Linked DNA regions of Arabidopsis thaliana. The protein of the gene in region 2 interacts with the protein of the main gene of each other region in a pairwise test. Each region holds a gene or a part of one and is shown on either strand. Other genes may lie near its edges.

What was found. Proteins that work in one complex are often made in the same cells at the same time.
Region 1: the proteins of AT1G22190 (region 2) and AT5G48240 interact in a two-hybrid assay, tested with the Arabidopsis thaliana proteins (one large-scale study listed by BioGRID).

What each region holds. Positions count from the first base shown.
Region 1 is NC_003076.8:19,556,026-19,563,847, reverse strand, and holds AT5G48240 (Rrp15p protein), read right to left. Parts: upstream 4,606-7,822; 5' UTR 4,548-4,605; coding exon 4,104-4,547; intron 4,023-4,103; coding exon 3,921-4,022; intron 3,837-3,920; coding exon 3,755-3,836; intron 3,648-3,754; coding exon 3,628-3,647; intron 3,544-3,627; coding exon 3,483-3,543; intron 3,393-3,482; coding exon 3,328-3,392; coding exon of another isoform or gene 3,257-3,327; coding exon 3,171-3,256; exon of another isoform or gene 3,076-3,170; coding exon 3,021-3,075; exon of another isoform or gene 2,946-3,020; coding exon 2,850-2,945; intron 2,755-2,849; coding exon 2,695-2,754; 3' UTR 2,573-2,694; downstream 1-2,572. Other genes in the region: BBX8 (B-box type zinc finger protein with CCT domain-containing protein), read left to right, coding at 735-1,256, 1,344-1,511, 1,614-1,915, 2,000-2,129.
Region 2 is NC_003070.9:7,831,842-7,839,339, reverse strand, and holds AT1G22190 (Integrase-type DNA-binding superfamily protein), read right to left. Parts: upstream 3,560-7,498; 5' UTR 3,096-3,559; coding exon 2,310-3,095; 3' UTR 1,929-2,309; downstream 1-1,928. Other genes in the region: AT1G22200 (Endoplasmic reticulum vesicle transporter protein), read left to right, coding at 175-354, 440-507, 597-648, 894-947, 1,036-1,128, 1,226-1,292, 1,392-1,483.

The sequences.
Region 1 (7,822 bases), on a different chromosome or scaffold from region 2:
ATATCTTTAGGGTCCTTAGAAAATGGGTTCTTTTGAACTTTTTACCCAATGTTTCTAGAATTATCAGCTTATGTCACATGCCTCTGCCTACATGTCCCTTTGCAGACACAACCCACCCATTGTCTATCCATCTGTTTCTCCTTTTACCCTTCTTCACACGCAGCTAAAGAAGAAATTTGTGGAATCATCGCTTATTCGTTTCAAAAGTCATTCATTTTTGGTGTCTCTGCTTCAGAAGATACTTGACGATCTCTCCTACGTGAGCTCTTTAAAACCCTTGTCTTGTTATTTTAGTGAGGGTTGCTTTGATTCTCAATCCTTTTTGACTGATCTTGAAATGGATCTTCTTTCACTTCTCTCGGATTTGTAATAAGAAATCTATAATTTTTTAGCTCACTTCTCTGATTGGTACATGTTGATCTGAAATTTGAAGTCTTTCTGCGATGTTAATTGGTTTCTCTGATGTCTCTTTTGATTGGTCTTTGATTTAGAACAGTCTCATCCATAGGAAGTTACAATCTTTGAGGAAGAGATGTTTAAAAAGATTGGACTTTTATCTAATTCTGGACTTGCTTTCGATACCAAGTTTCAAGCTTTTGTTAGTTGTTTAATGTATTGTGGTAAGTTTTTTTCCTTCTAAGATTATGATATAAGGGACTAACCAAAATGGTTTGATTCTTTGTTAGTGAAAGGAGCTTGCTTTCTTCAGTGTGACGGTTGAGATTGGTTGAAAGATGGGTTATATGTGTGATTTCTGTGGTGAACAAAGATCAATGGTGTATTGTCGATCTGATGCAGCGTGTTTGTGTCTTTCGTGTGACCGTAATGTTCATTCTGCTAATGCTCTATCGAAACGTCATTCGCGGACTTTGGTATGTGAGAGGTGTAATGCACAGCCAGCTTCTGTCCGGTGTAGTGATGAGAGGGTTTCTCTATGTCAAAACTGTGATTGGTCAGGCCATGACGGCAAGAATTCTACTACTACTTCACATCATAAAAGGCAAACCATCAATTGTTATTCTGGTTGTCCCTCGAGTGCCGAATTATCCTCGATATGGTCTTTCTGTATGGATTTGAATATCTCTTCTGCTGAAGAATCCGCTTGTGAGCAAGGAATGGGTTTGATGACTATAGATGAAGATGGCACAGGAGAAAAATCTGGTGTCCAAAAAATTAATGTAGAACAGCCTGAAACCAGTTCGGCTGCACAAGGTATGGATCACTCTAGTGTTCCAGAAAATTCATCAATGGCTAAGGTATTTTAACATGATTTTCTTCATATTGTGGTAAGATCTTGAAAGCAACTAGCGTCTAAATGTTTCTTATTATTGTACTGGTTGTAGGAGCTTGGAGTATGTGAGGATGACTTCAATGGAAATCTCATTTCAGATGAAGTAGACTTGGCTCTTGAGAACTATGAAGAACTCTTTGGTTCAGCCTTCAACTCATCAAGATATCTCTTCGAGCACGGTGGAATTGGAAGTCTTTTCGAGAAAGATGAAGCTCATGAGGTTTTGTCAACCTTCTTCTTCTATCTGAGACTAGTATCACTAAAGTTAAGGATGATTTTTTTCTGTGATCCTTATGCTCTTTTGTGTGTTTTCTCAATTCAGGGCTCAATGCAGCAGCCAGCATTAAGCAATAATGCATCTGCAGATTCGTTCATGACTTGTAGAACCGAGCCAATAATTTGCTATTCATCAAAGCCAGCACATTCGAATATCTCCTTCTCTGGCATCACTGGAGAAAGTAATGCTGGAGATTTCCAAGATTGTGGGGCGTCATCGATGAAGCAGCTTTCAAGGGAGCCACAACCATGGTGCCATCCAACAGCACAGGACATTATTGCTTCCTCACATGCAACAACACGTAATAACGCTGTTATGCGTTACAAGGAAAAGAAGAAGGCTCGCAAGTAAGTATAAACGCACACAGAAAGGAATTTAATTCATCATTGAAAGTTGTTATAGCTAATATTTAACATATTTTGTATAAATAGGTTTGACAAGCGAGTAAGGTATGTCTCTAGGAAAGAAAGGGCTGATGTGAGACGGCGTGTGAAAGGACGGTTTGTCAAGTCCGGTGAAGCTTATGATTACGACCCGATGAGCCCAACAAGAAGCTACTGAGGATAAAACCTCAAAACAATGAAAGATCACAAAGTGGAGATATAAGACAGAGATGCAACTAATTGGCAGCGATGGATCTGGAAGCCATTATTGGTTGAAAAGGAACACGAGTTCTCCGCCTCAAAAGCGTCATACTTGCTTAGAAAGGCGCATGCTTCTGCAGTTCTGCCTCATTTTTTGCATAAAGTTTGTTATCTTCTTCTGTCATTTGGCATCATGACTTGACTGTGAAACTAGAAACTCTTCTACAGATTCAGGTTCATGATCCTTAAATTTTGTCCTATTATAATTTGTGTAGCCAAGGCAAAACAACGAATGTATATTTTTTTTACGTCATATAAATAATAACCATGTAGAAGTTTGGAGTATCATCACTTCTATATTTACGGTATTGGTTAATGATACTAACAAGTGTATTTTCTAAAAGCGTAACCACAAGAATCACAACCTTTCAGGATCCTTTTGCACTATCAAAAAACTGAATTCATTCATATTGATCAGACAAAATTTGCATGATACAAAGGCAAAATTAAAGTTTGCTCGTTTAACTACTAGTTTAAACTCTTCAGTCTTCATAACTTTCATCTCCTGACAAACCGGCAAAATCATCTCCCTCGCTTGTTTCCTGCGGACAATTCAATTTTAAGTTTCAGATCAAAGAGTATAAATCAGTATGCAAGCTATGTGATTCCAGATTTGTGGATAAGAATGAAGAGATACCTGTTTCTTGTCCCAGTCCTTCAGTTTTGGGTTTGCTAACATGTAATTATCTCGTAGAGGAGCCCAAACAGGAGCTTCGTCTTCAGATTTGTGAGCCTGCACCATCCAACAGAATATCACTAGTTAACTAACCAACAATACTTTAGACTTATAACTAACGGCTCTCGCTACTGAAGGTGATCCTTTCTCTATAGAAGCCAGCTCAAGACAGAATACTAACTTGCTTCTATGTTCATCCAAAGTTGAAGGCTTTAAGAACATTCAAAATTGTTACTAGTAATTTACTAAGAATACTTCTGATTTATAACTAACATCTATCACTCACTCATGAGGTGATTCTTTTCGTGACTCTCTATAGGAGCTAGATCAAGACAGAATACTAACTTGTTTCTACGTGCATCAAACGGCTAAGGAATAAACTCTCAAGATAAATCATAATGAAAGAGAGAGAGTAAGAGATATGGAGACTATGCCAAACCTTGGTGTCTGTTTTTGTTTTCCCTAACTCAGACAAGAATGCTTCTTTTCTTCGCTTCTTCAGCACTGATGGATGTTCCAATAGGATAAAAAACGAGAATTAGAAGATAAGAACAAGACAGTGGATTCATGCCAACGATCAATTTCTAAGCCTACCTTTAGCGTCTTTAGACCTTGAAGGATTCAAACCCTTCTGAGCATGTTGAGCCTTGTTGACCTATTTGAAAAACATAAACTAAGAATCATACGAATCACTACCGGAGAATAAAAACCTCAAAAATAGACATAGAAACAAACTTACAGCATTGAAAAGCTTGACCACTGTGATACCACAAGTTCATGGAGAGGAAAAAAAGAGTCAATACTAAAACAAAAAAAAAAAACCAAACAATCTCAAGAAACAGAGAGTTTAACCAAAGCAACAATACCTCCTTTAGTAGCAACACCAATAAGAATCTTTTCATGAGAATCCAAATAACTTCCAGGTTTAACATGTCCCTTCTCAGCAATCTTAAAAAAGCAATTGTTAAGATAAATCATCATCTAAAACACAAGAACACAAACGAATAGTGAACACAACAACCAAACTCATACCAAATGTTTAGCCTTTCTAGCTTGACCTTTAGCTTTCTTTTCAGCTTCATCTTCAGCTAGCTTCTCTCCAATAAGATGCTTATGTGCTGATAAAACTGGGCCCTATTACACACAACACCAACACAGTTCAACACTATATTCCCAAATCAAAACTCAAAACTAGAATCTGCTATAAAATCTCACCAATGTATCATCTCCTTTAGTCTTCTTCATAATAGCTTTAAAAGCGATTTTGAAAGCATTACATCCATCAGTAGCAAACTTAGTGATTCCAGATTCAATCTCTCCATGATCTTCACCATCTGAATTCTCATCATTATCTTCTTCTCCAATCTCTTCGTAATTTGGTCCCATGTTAGCATCAGAGAAGATCTTCTCACGAATTGTTACTTCTGGTTGTTTCTTCGATTCATCATCTTCTTCTTCATCGTCATCGGAATTGTAATCTCGTGCTCTCTTCTGAAATAGCTTTTGATTCTTCATTGTAACCTTAAACCTATCGGAAGTAGAAGGTTTTGATTTTTGCTTTTTGTTCCTCGCCGCTTTAGTACCTTTCTTAACGCCGACTCTTCTCTTTCTAGAGCCTCTATCTGCCATCGCCATGTGACCTTCTTCTCCGGTAGACATGGCTTCGTCGAGAACTTTGGGTTATCACGGCGGCGAGAGTTTGGGGGAGAAGAGACGAGAGATAGGGTTTTGTTATTGCTTTCTTTAAACCTTGCTATAAGGGAAAATGTTTTCGGATTCTGATTTCCGGTTAAGGTCAGGTTTGTAAGTTGGATTTGGGTTCGAATTTGAGATTTCGGTTTAGGTCGGGTTTTGTCGTTTTGATTTCTATTGATAAATAATGGTTTCCACATGGTTAGCGACTTAGCGTCGGATATAAGATTTGGCCGCGTAATCGGTTCTTGACCAAACTACGAGGCTTGAATGGTTCAAATGCAGACTGCTGAAATTTATGGAAACGGAGAGTTGCGGTTTTAAGAGTTATCATATATTTTAAATGATTGATTTAGCGGTTAAATTTTACGTTTGTTGAAGTTTTATAGTTGGTTAACTAGCATGTGCGATAACGGTAAATACAAAATACCAAAATAATATAATTTATAATTTTAGAAAACTGAAAAACACCAAATTTTTATATTATTATGATTTAATGTTAAAATTTTAAATATAACTAATGATAAAACCATTTTGAGGATCTCAAGCTTGATAAAAAAATTGTCATGAATGAATATGTGTCAATTGATGAAATTTATAATAAAATATTATATTTTTTTACAAAATATAACTAATAAAAAAAAGTATTACATAATTATTCAAAAACAAGTAAATTTCATATTGAAATGTTTATTCATCAATTTGATTCATCACCAAAAAATGTATCATGTAATATGATATACTTCAAACAAATATGTTTGAATAGTAGATATTTCAGATTAACAATATTAGTACAATATTTATATTTGTATCTCGCCTTTTAACAGTTTGATTGACGTCATGATTTTGATGGAAAAATAAGAATTTAGAGTTATGAGAATTAACGTTAACATATAGGGTACAATAAAAAGAATCAGTTTTTACAGTTTTGAGAATTCACGTTACAATTTTTAGAATTTTCAGCGACCTTTAGTTATTAAAAGTATGTTTACTTGCTTTCTTAAATACTTAGGTAAACGTAATGAAAAGAAAAATTATATTTATTCTTTACACAGAATCATATGTAATTTCAGTTCTGTTATGAAGCAAGTTTTTAACCTTTGTGTATGTTCTTCTACGCACATCATACTTGTTCTTGAATTGTTTATCCCATGAATATCTCTTCCCAAATTTTTCTTCAAACTATCTCATGATGGACTCTTTTCCAGTTATATTTAATCTCGTCTTTCTTCTATTCCCTTTTTCCTCAGCAGTACAAAGTTGAAGAAAATATCAACACTCTTCGTCCGACCAATTCTAAATTCAGGAAAAAACATCCAATTCTCAATCATACAATTCTATAACATTAGAAAAAAAAAAGAAACTTACATCATCGTTGTTCATCTTATCAAGTAAGTGACAATCTTAGAGGAAGTAGCAAGTAAGGAACTGTCAATTGCCACTGAAAAAACGAAGAAAGAATGTATGTCAACACAAACTTGTTCCTTTACACTAAGAAACTAACACAAATGTCAACACAAATCTAAATGAAAACAAGAGGATTTGATCTTATTTCTCGTTTGGGTGCAAATTGAAAGTTTAATAAGCGACACAAAAGCAATACAACATGCATCCCTTTGATAAGATTTTAGAAACAACACTTCAGTTCCAGCTCCCAAAATCTGAACAAAATGATTGTGATTTTATACAAAAGTGCTTCAAAGAATTCAAAGTTGTGAAAGGAATAGAACAAAAGAATCCTGATAAAAAGAATAAGTTTTTAATAACTATTTAATCTATTTCGAGATAGAAAATTTGTCTCATCCTGTTCGCTAAGTTTGCGTTTATTTGTTGAACTCAGGTCAAAATTGGGGTTTAAATCAAGTTTGGATAAGGAATTATCGAACAAAAAATAAAAGTGGAATAAAAATCTTTGTCAAACAAACTACAATTAGTAGAGCAACCCAATCATTGTTATAGAAATAGCTCATTAACCCATGTGTTTAGGTTTCCATCAAAACAGATTCATAATTTGTGTGATAAGAAGAAGAGAAGTATTTTTAGGAGTTGCCTCTCGTAGAAGTCTCTTTTTTTTTTTTTTTTGGTGAGATCAATCAAGGAACCACTTTAATCTTGATGACAATCCCAATATTTTATTCTTTTCTATTTCTTGCACAATAAAACTTAACTAACTATCTTATTTTCAATTTTAGATTTTTATGTTAATAAGTTTATATGAGCACAAAAATGGATAAATGTTTGCTACTTATACGAAAGAGATGTCATCATCTAGTCACACATGCATACTTTAAAAATGTCTTGTTAGCTACACTATATATTGTTATAACATACCGACATACACAAATAAATATAAGTTATGTTGCCAATACCATAACCATTCTACTTCGGTTGTCAGAATTATGCGTTGACCGATATTTTATTTTTGATAAACAATTAATAAATAATTATAATTTGCCCTTAAACAGAAAAAAAACTTTGGCCTAACTACAATTTCATTAACTTAGAGTTTAACTTTTGTATCAAGGGAAGGTACAATAGAGAGTATTTAGTAGATTGCTTTTTCGTTCCCAACAACCTATTCCATTTCCAGACAGAAAATCAATCCCCATCCTAATTCACTAAAAAAAAAAATCAATCTCCATCCCATTCGTGTTTGTTAGTTGAATTTGGGTCGTAATTTGGGGTTGAGTCGGATTTTAATAATTGCATATCGAATAAAAATTAAAAATTGGAATCAAAATCTTGGTCAAACAAACTGCAGTTATTGGAACACTTAATCATTGTCATAGAAGTTTGTCCAAAATAAAAACTCATTGTCATAGAAATAACTTATTAGCCCATATGTTTAGGGTTGTCATTAAAATAGATTTATATAGATTTGTATAATGAGAAGAAGGGAAGTTATCTTTAGGAGTTGCTTCTTGTGTTAACTCTCTCTTCTTCTTTTTTTGCTTTGTATGAGACCAGTCAAAGAACCACTTTAATCGTGGTGACAATCTGAATATTTTCTTCTTTTCGATTTCTTGCACAATTAAACTTAATGAACCATCTTATTTTCAATTTTAGATTTCTACTTTAACAAGCTCATATGAACACAAAAATCTATCTTGGTTTAGTTTGTCCCACAATAAATTTATTAACTTAAGAAGACTCAAGAGTTTAACTTCTATTAAGGGAATGTACAATAAAGCTATTTAGATTTCCTTCTCACCCAATTATGTCTATCCATTTGGATTAAGTGT
Region 2 (7,498 bases):
TTCCTTCACTAACAACAAAATTGGGTTGATCTTGGTACTTAGTTTGAAACAAATAGTGACACCTTGTTTGGCACTAAAATGGATATATCTAAAGAAACCATGGGTATCTGGTCTTTCGTTTCAGCTATCCCCACATCTAGTTGTATGATATTCTTACTCATCATTTCATTTCAGTGTAAAAGAGAAGGCTTTGTGCAAAAGGTAAAAGATGAAGAAGGTGAAGGTTGTAATGTTCACGGTTTCTTGGAAGTTAACAAAGTTGCTGGGAACTTTCATTTCATTCCTGGGCAAAGCTTTCATCAATCCGGTTTTCAATTTCATGATATGTTATTGTTCCAGCAAGGCAACTACAATGTAAGAAAAGTTTTATTTTTGTTTCATTCTCTCTTTATAAGCTCATATTTCAAATGGGTCTTGACTCTATTATATCATTACACAGATTAGCCACAAGGTCAACAGGTTGGCCTTTGGAGACTTTTTCCCCGGTGTAGTGAACCCTCTTGATGGGTAAAAACTCAATTATATAGCCATTACTCGCACCTGTTATCGCTTTTTCAATAATCCTATCTTCTGAAACATTCTCTTGGTTCTCTCAGTGTGCAGTGGAATCAGGGGAAACAGAGTGGCGTCTATCAATACTTCATCAAGGTTTGCTTCATTTGTACATTATATCTATAGACAATGCTCTCACCTGGGACAATAGTTTAGGTACAAAATTTTGAGATTCCTAAAAGGCTCATTATTAGCTCAGGTTACTGATAGAGAAGTACAAAGACATTAATACATTATGCTTGTTGACCAATGCAATAAGAATTTCTTTATCGGTAGCTTTTGCATGCTAGAAAGATTGTTGAGCGTAGGGATAAAGAATGGATTGTGGTGTTGAATTTCAGGTGGTACCAAGCATATACACCGATGTTCACCAGAATACAATACAGTCAAACCAGGTAAATCCCACATCCCCAAATCTCTATATAAAAATCTTTGTCATTTTCTTCTTGTAAAATCTAACCTATGAGTTTTTGTTTTTAACAGTTCTCTGTGACAGAACATTTCCAGAACATGGAAGCAGGTCGCATGCAATCTCCGCCTGGTGTTTTCTTCTACTATGATCTATCGCCAATTAAGGTCTGTTCGTTTTTTCTTTTTCTTTTTCCAAGTCGTGTTCTTAATACCAACGGAGACTATATCTCTAGAAACATTTTAACTTTTGATTGTTGGCTAGGTGATATTTGAGGAGCAACATGTGGAGTTCTTGCACTTCCTAACAAATGTTTGCGCTATAGTAGGAGGTAATCAATATATATATCCCTTCTCCATTCAATTTAAACATACCCTACTGATATGTTTATCATCAAATTCAAAACTAAAATTATACCTTTGATTTGCAGGTATCTTCACGGTATCGGGAATAGTAGATTCGTTCATATACCATGGACAACGAGCAATTAAGAAGAAAATGGAGATTGGTAAATTCAACTGAGTTGTTTGATATTCTCCACACTTTCTTGATCAGCTACTGGAGAATCATCTCTACGGGTTTTACAGTTAGACATTAGGTTTGAATTTGTGACAATGCGATGATTTAAAGAATTTTGTAGTACTGTAAGATATTCCAGGATCTGAACTTTGCCTTTCACTATTCACTATCTCTTCATAGGCAACATACAAAGTGTAAAATGTTGTTATCACCGATTGAAACGAATGTTAATTTTTCCTATTTAATTTGAGCTCATTTGTTTAAAGTGTAGTCTAAATCTGAAGATACCGATCTTGCTTTATGTTATTAAACTAAAGCCTTGTTTTTTTAAGTGTCTACGTTTGTTGATAATCAGAGAAAGTGGTTTCTTAGATTAGCTTAAAGCCATGGATTGAAATACACTAAAGTTGATTCAGGATGCTTCCTCATTTACAGTCTAAGCAACACTTCCAGAATTTAGTTATTACGAGAAGTGAGTTACATGTTTTGTAGATTTAGAAGGAGTTTTTGCAGTTTCATACCAATCAAGTTTTTATAGTTAAGGAATTTAGTTTCTTCTACTTTGATCGTTGTTCTTTTGTGCCAATTTAACTTGAACTAAGAAAATCAAGGAACTACAAAAATTACATAAGAAATCTCACACGGTCGAAGCATGCCAAAAAAAAACAGCTTGGACCGACGCAGAGATTAACACTAATTAACATCAAAGTAGATAAACTTATTTGATATTAACATAACAAACCCCCTTAATAATAATAAAATCTCTGCAATGACCAAAAACTCCATCGCAGAGAGCTCTAAAGTCCCTAAAATACCCCTATGGCAACATCTAATTTACAAGACTCGAACACTGAAGAATCGAATCCCAATCGATCTCGTACGACGGATACTTCTCCAACGCGTTCTCGTTCCACGGCGGCTGAATCTCCTCCTCCGTATCACCAAACGTCAGCTCCGACAACGGCGAAGAAGATCCACCAGATCCATAACTCTCCGTTAACAGCGGCGAAGATCCGGCGCTAGAGTAGTCCTCCTCCGGTAGTTTCACTGCGACGGTTGATGAACGTTTCCGAGAAGAAGACTTCTTCGTTGATCTCACCTGTTTCTGCGTCGTCTCAGCTAAGTTTTGACAAATAGCTTCAAGCTTAGCGTCGACTGATGATTGAAGAGGTTGATACTCGTCGTTATGACGGAGATCAGGGAAATTAAGCCGCGCAAAATCTCCTCGGAGCTTATACGCCGCCTTGTCATAAGCTAAAGCAGCTTCCTCCGCCGTGTCGAATGTTCCGAGCCAAAGTCGAGTTCGATTCCTCGGTAAACGAATCTCAGCCACCCATTTTCCCCAGTGACGTTGTCTCACTCCTCTGTATAGCTTCGTCGGTTTAGCCGCGGAAGTACCGGTTTGTTTCATTGAGACCGGTTTAGGACTAAGATGGTGAGAAAATGAGTGGAGATCCGACCCGTATGAAATTGGAGCGGGTAGAGAGAACGCAAACGCGGATGAATCGTTGGAAGGGCTTTTGATAAAAGGTAAAAGCGCTTCCATTAATTCACCACCGAATGGATCAGATTGTTGAAACGTTTTGTTACTGTAAAAATCCATAGAAGTTGTCATTTCTAATAAAAAGAAATTTTTTTCCCTTGTTCTTGTAAAAAAAGTAAAGAACAGGATTTTTTGTTTTCAAGAAAATCGAAAAAGAGGTTTATAAAATAAAAAACCTCTGTGTAGATTTCTGAGAGGAGGGAATTAAAAAAATACCCTCACAAACGATTAATTCTACAAAGAAAAAAAAACACAAGAAGATCAAAAATAAAAAAAGATTGATCTCTTTAAGAAAATACAAACCAAGAAATCAGTTTTCTTCTATACGAAAGACAGATTACTAACAGAAATGAATCAAAGTAGCGGGAAATAAACAGATCTAAGGGGGATGGATTTGTAAAGAATAAAAGTTAAGGAGAAAACCAGAAAGTATATCAACTTTTTTTTTTGGTTACACTCAAGTTTTTTTTTTTTTTTGTAAGTGAATAACTCTCAGCCTCACCGATACACTTATCTCATTAGCTTGGCTCTTGTTTATATAGGAGGCGTGGCGTGACTTCTTTTTTCCATCCTCCTCATATTTCTCAAATTTATATGTTTAATTAATTTTTTCTTTTGTTATTTTATGTACTATTTCAGATAAGATCATCCATGTTTACGTACTCCAAATAATATATATTCAATTTCAATCAAACATTGTTTGTAAGTTGAGTTTTAACAAGTTTTGTTTTAGAATGGTTAATTTTTACAAGTTAAAATGTTTCTACAAGTTTATTCTATAATCGAAGCGTTTTAATTTTACAATCATAGTTTGATGGAGAATCATTTCATTATATTACATTCACACCGGCTTTATGGGACGTTTCTTCCATAACCATATTAATCTTTTTTCTATTCAAATAGAAGTGAGTGGACGTACACAACTCCATAAATTTTAAAAGATTAGTTAAAAAAATGGTTGTCTACTCATTTAGCTAGACGTCTTTCTAAGCGGTTGAAACTAATGTACACGAGCACTTCGATTCCAGCCAAATTGATAAAATTGAAATCAACATATTTTTACGATTTATTTGGTAGAGGCGTCCAACAATTGGTCCACTAGTCCAGCTAGTAGATTTAGAATTCTTTTGTATATATGCGAAAACAAAACTTCTGAAAATTTTCAATAAAATGGAACTGAGAGAATATTAAGAATGAGATTATCCAAATTAATAGTATATATTGAAGTATATCAAACCGAAAAAGTATAAAAATAATTATTCGGAGGTTCCGAATGTGACACACGTAGACTTCATGATTGTTAAGCAATAATTTTGGCTCGCAATGTAATGATGATATCATGTTAATGAGTGGTTTAGACTTTTATTTAGATAATAAATCATACAAGATTAAAAAAGAAGGGTCTAGAGGGTTAGAATGAATGGCTGAGAACTCCTCAAATGTCAATTCCGTATTATATCATCCATTTAATTAGTTTATTAAACATTTCATCATCTTACGATATCTTATAGAGTTGCATCACTTAATTTATTGCTTCGTGTAATCGTGTACAAATGTCACTACAATCAATACGGCGTCAATTTGCAAGGTTAGACTATGGTGTCATCATTTTATAATGATCAATATTTTGAGGGAAGACGCGCATAAGGAGGTACCACCCATGTGGATGGCTCGTGTCCGTGTTACCAGTTCATCTTTACGATGCTGATTTATCTCGTTTACATGTATTATCATATGCATGTATATTTCGTACTTGCTTGCTTTGGTGAACATTGCATATGTGTAATAACTTGTCTAAGCGTTATTTTTCTTATACTTTGTTATGTATTTTTGATAAAAGTCAACTTTCAGTATTGATATCTACATTTAATGCAAAAACTGAATAAGAAAAAGACCAATTAGCTAGACCATAAATTAACCACTCATATAGCTACAAACCTATAAAACTATGGTTAAACAAATTGTAAAGAAAGAAAAAAAACTCTACGCATGAGAAAAGGGAAAAGCAAGAAAAACTCCAACGCATGATTTCATAACCGTAAGCCGAGCGTGTCCACAGGGGAAATGAAATAGTCAACTACAAAATCATTACTCAAGTCTTAGCTGTATGTAATAACTGACAGCTTTTTGCTGCCTATTTTTCTCCTTTTGAATTTTTCTTTTTATTCAAAATCATATATATATGAAAATTGGCCTACACTCTCCATATAAATGATACATCATCACACAAAAAAATGACATGTGTCATTCTATATTAATTAAATAAAAAAACTAGCAAAACTAATTGAGAAAAAATTAAAAGTCTTTTGTTGTGTTAATCTCACTCTTAAATGAATTTTCTAAAAAACATTCGATAAATAAAAAGTCATAATAATGTACCAAGCACTACTTTCATTTTATTCTACTTATTTTATTAAAAACATTTAATCAATAATCATTAATCTATAATGGCTAAAAATTTACTTGTGTTGTAGTTTAGATGTTTGCTACCTAACCTCATATTAATTTAGTAATTTTAGTTAAATATTTTATTATTATTATATTTTGTGAATTTGATTTATCATATGAACTTCTTTCGGTACATTTTGTGTGTTAAGATAATTTTGTAACATTGATATATAATTTTTTCACGTAATAGTCATCCTAGACATTAGACATACCAAAAAAACAACAACATGTGACTTTATATGATTATATGGTAGGGATAAGAATTAAAATGTTGACTTAAATTACTAGCATATCAGGATGTGATTGTGTACTAGATAACGAGATAATATATGGAATAAAGAATTGTTTGTTACAATTAAGTTAGACAAGTTTTAAAATACATAAGTAATATAACTACTTATATCAGTATATCATTTACTGTTATAGTATGTGATCATGATAGTGAAATATTAGAATAATAAATATATAAATATTCATATTGTAGTTGAATTGATATTTTGAGTTATAGATGAATCTAATCATAAAAAATAATAATTATATTAAATGGATGAATTTATCAAAATGAACATCTTTTTTTTTTGTCAAACAATCAAAATGAACATCAAAATCAACAAAAAACCATAATCATATTTTTCCGACAATTTTAAAAACAAAAATCGATGCGTAGCATGGGTGTTCATCTAGTTTATTTAAACAATAATACTTTATTAGTGTACTCTCAAGTTCTCTGACATTTTTTTTTTATTGGGGGCAAATGAAATGACTGACATTTTTGCATTGTTGTTCCTTAACTTGTCTATAAAAGTAGTTGTTTGATAGCTAGATTCACTGCATCTAAATCAAGTAATATAATAGTACATACATGTCATTTTTAGGATTTTTGAGAAATATTTGTAAATCGTAAAGAAAAAAGGTAGATCCGATTTGTGACTAATTTGGTCGAAAAGAAAAGAAAAGAAAAGAAGGTGGATCTGATTGGATTTTTGCTTTTGGTATGAACTTTTGCAATTTAATGCTCATAACGCGGTTTCCGTCAAACGCGTCCGTTTTATCTGTCGAAGTCAAACAACCGTTGCGAATCTGCCACGTGTTCACCCTCAAAGGTCCATTTTGTACTGTTTATCTGACTAGCTCACCTTAAAAGGCTTATTAAACTCCACGTGTCTTTTTGACCTCTTGACTTTGAATGATCTTACTAGTTTACAATTGTATTTTCTCACCTAATTTAATTAACACTAATACGTAAAATGAGAAATATACTCACCTAATTTTAATTTATATTAATGCATAAGATGAGAAATATAGTAGTAGTAGAACAAGTTGGTAAAATACAAATGCATGTGAAAATGCGTGTATTGGGTGAAGTGAAAGTAGAGAAAAATAGATTTGCTAATTTATTTTTCCTTTGGTGATATCGAAAGGAGGGTGTCGTTGTTTTTCGATCAGTTGCACGTTGTTCTACGAGGGAAAGAGGAATTGCATGTGGATTTTAGGTGAATTGTCTCCGTTAATTTTTGCATGACATATGGCCATTGCAGACTATTTATTATACAAAGCTTATGTGATTATGTCGTATGTTTTTGTACAAGATGGTAAGAAAAAAAGCTTCTCAAGGATGTATTTTGTTCTCATTAATGGACTTTTTACGTTGTATTACAAAAAAAACACCAATAAACAGAAACGATAAATCATACTCCATAGTATAGGACTCCTTCCGTAAACGTGCTTAAAATATACAAATTGTTATTTTCGTATTATTAAATATATTTTCTAAATTCGAAAATTTGAGAAAAAAATATATAGTTGTGTATCCATCTAAATACATGTCATTTGCTAATGCATTTCCTTGATATGTTGAGCTTTTGGCATAAAAAGACTTTTGCCATTGTTGCTAAACACTTGTTGCTTTCCTTTACTTTTGTGCAATCACGTAAGTCCTGACCATCTACCTATATTTTTAACCGATTAAATTTAGGTTAATCTTATCATTTATCCTTAAAATATAGAGTAAATTTGGAAAAATACCC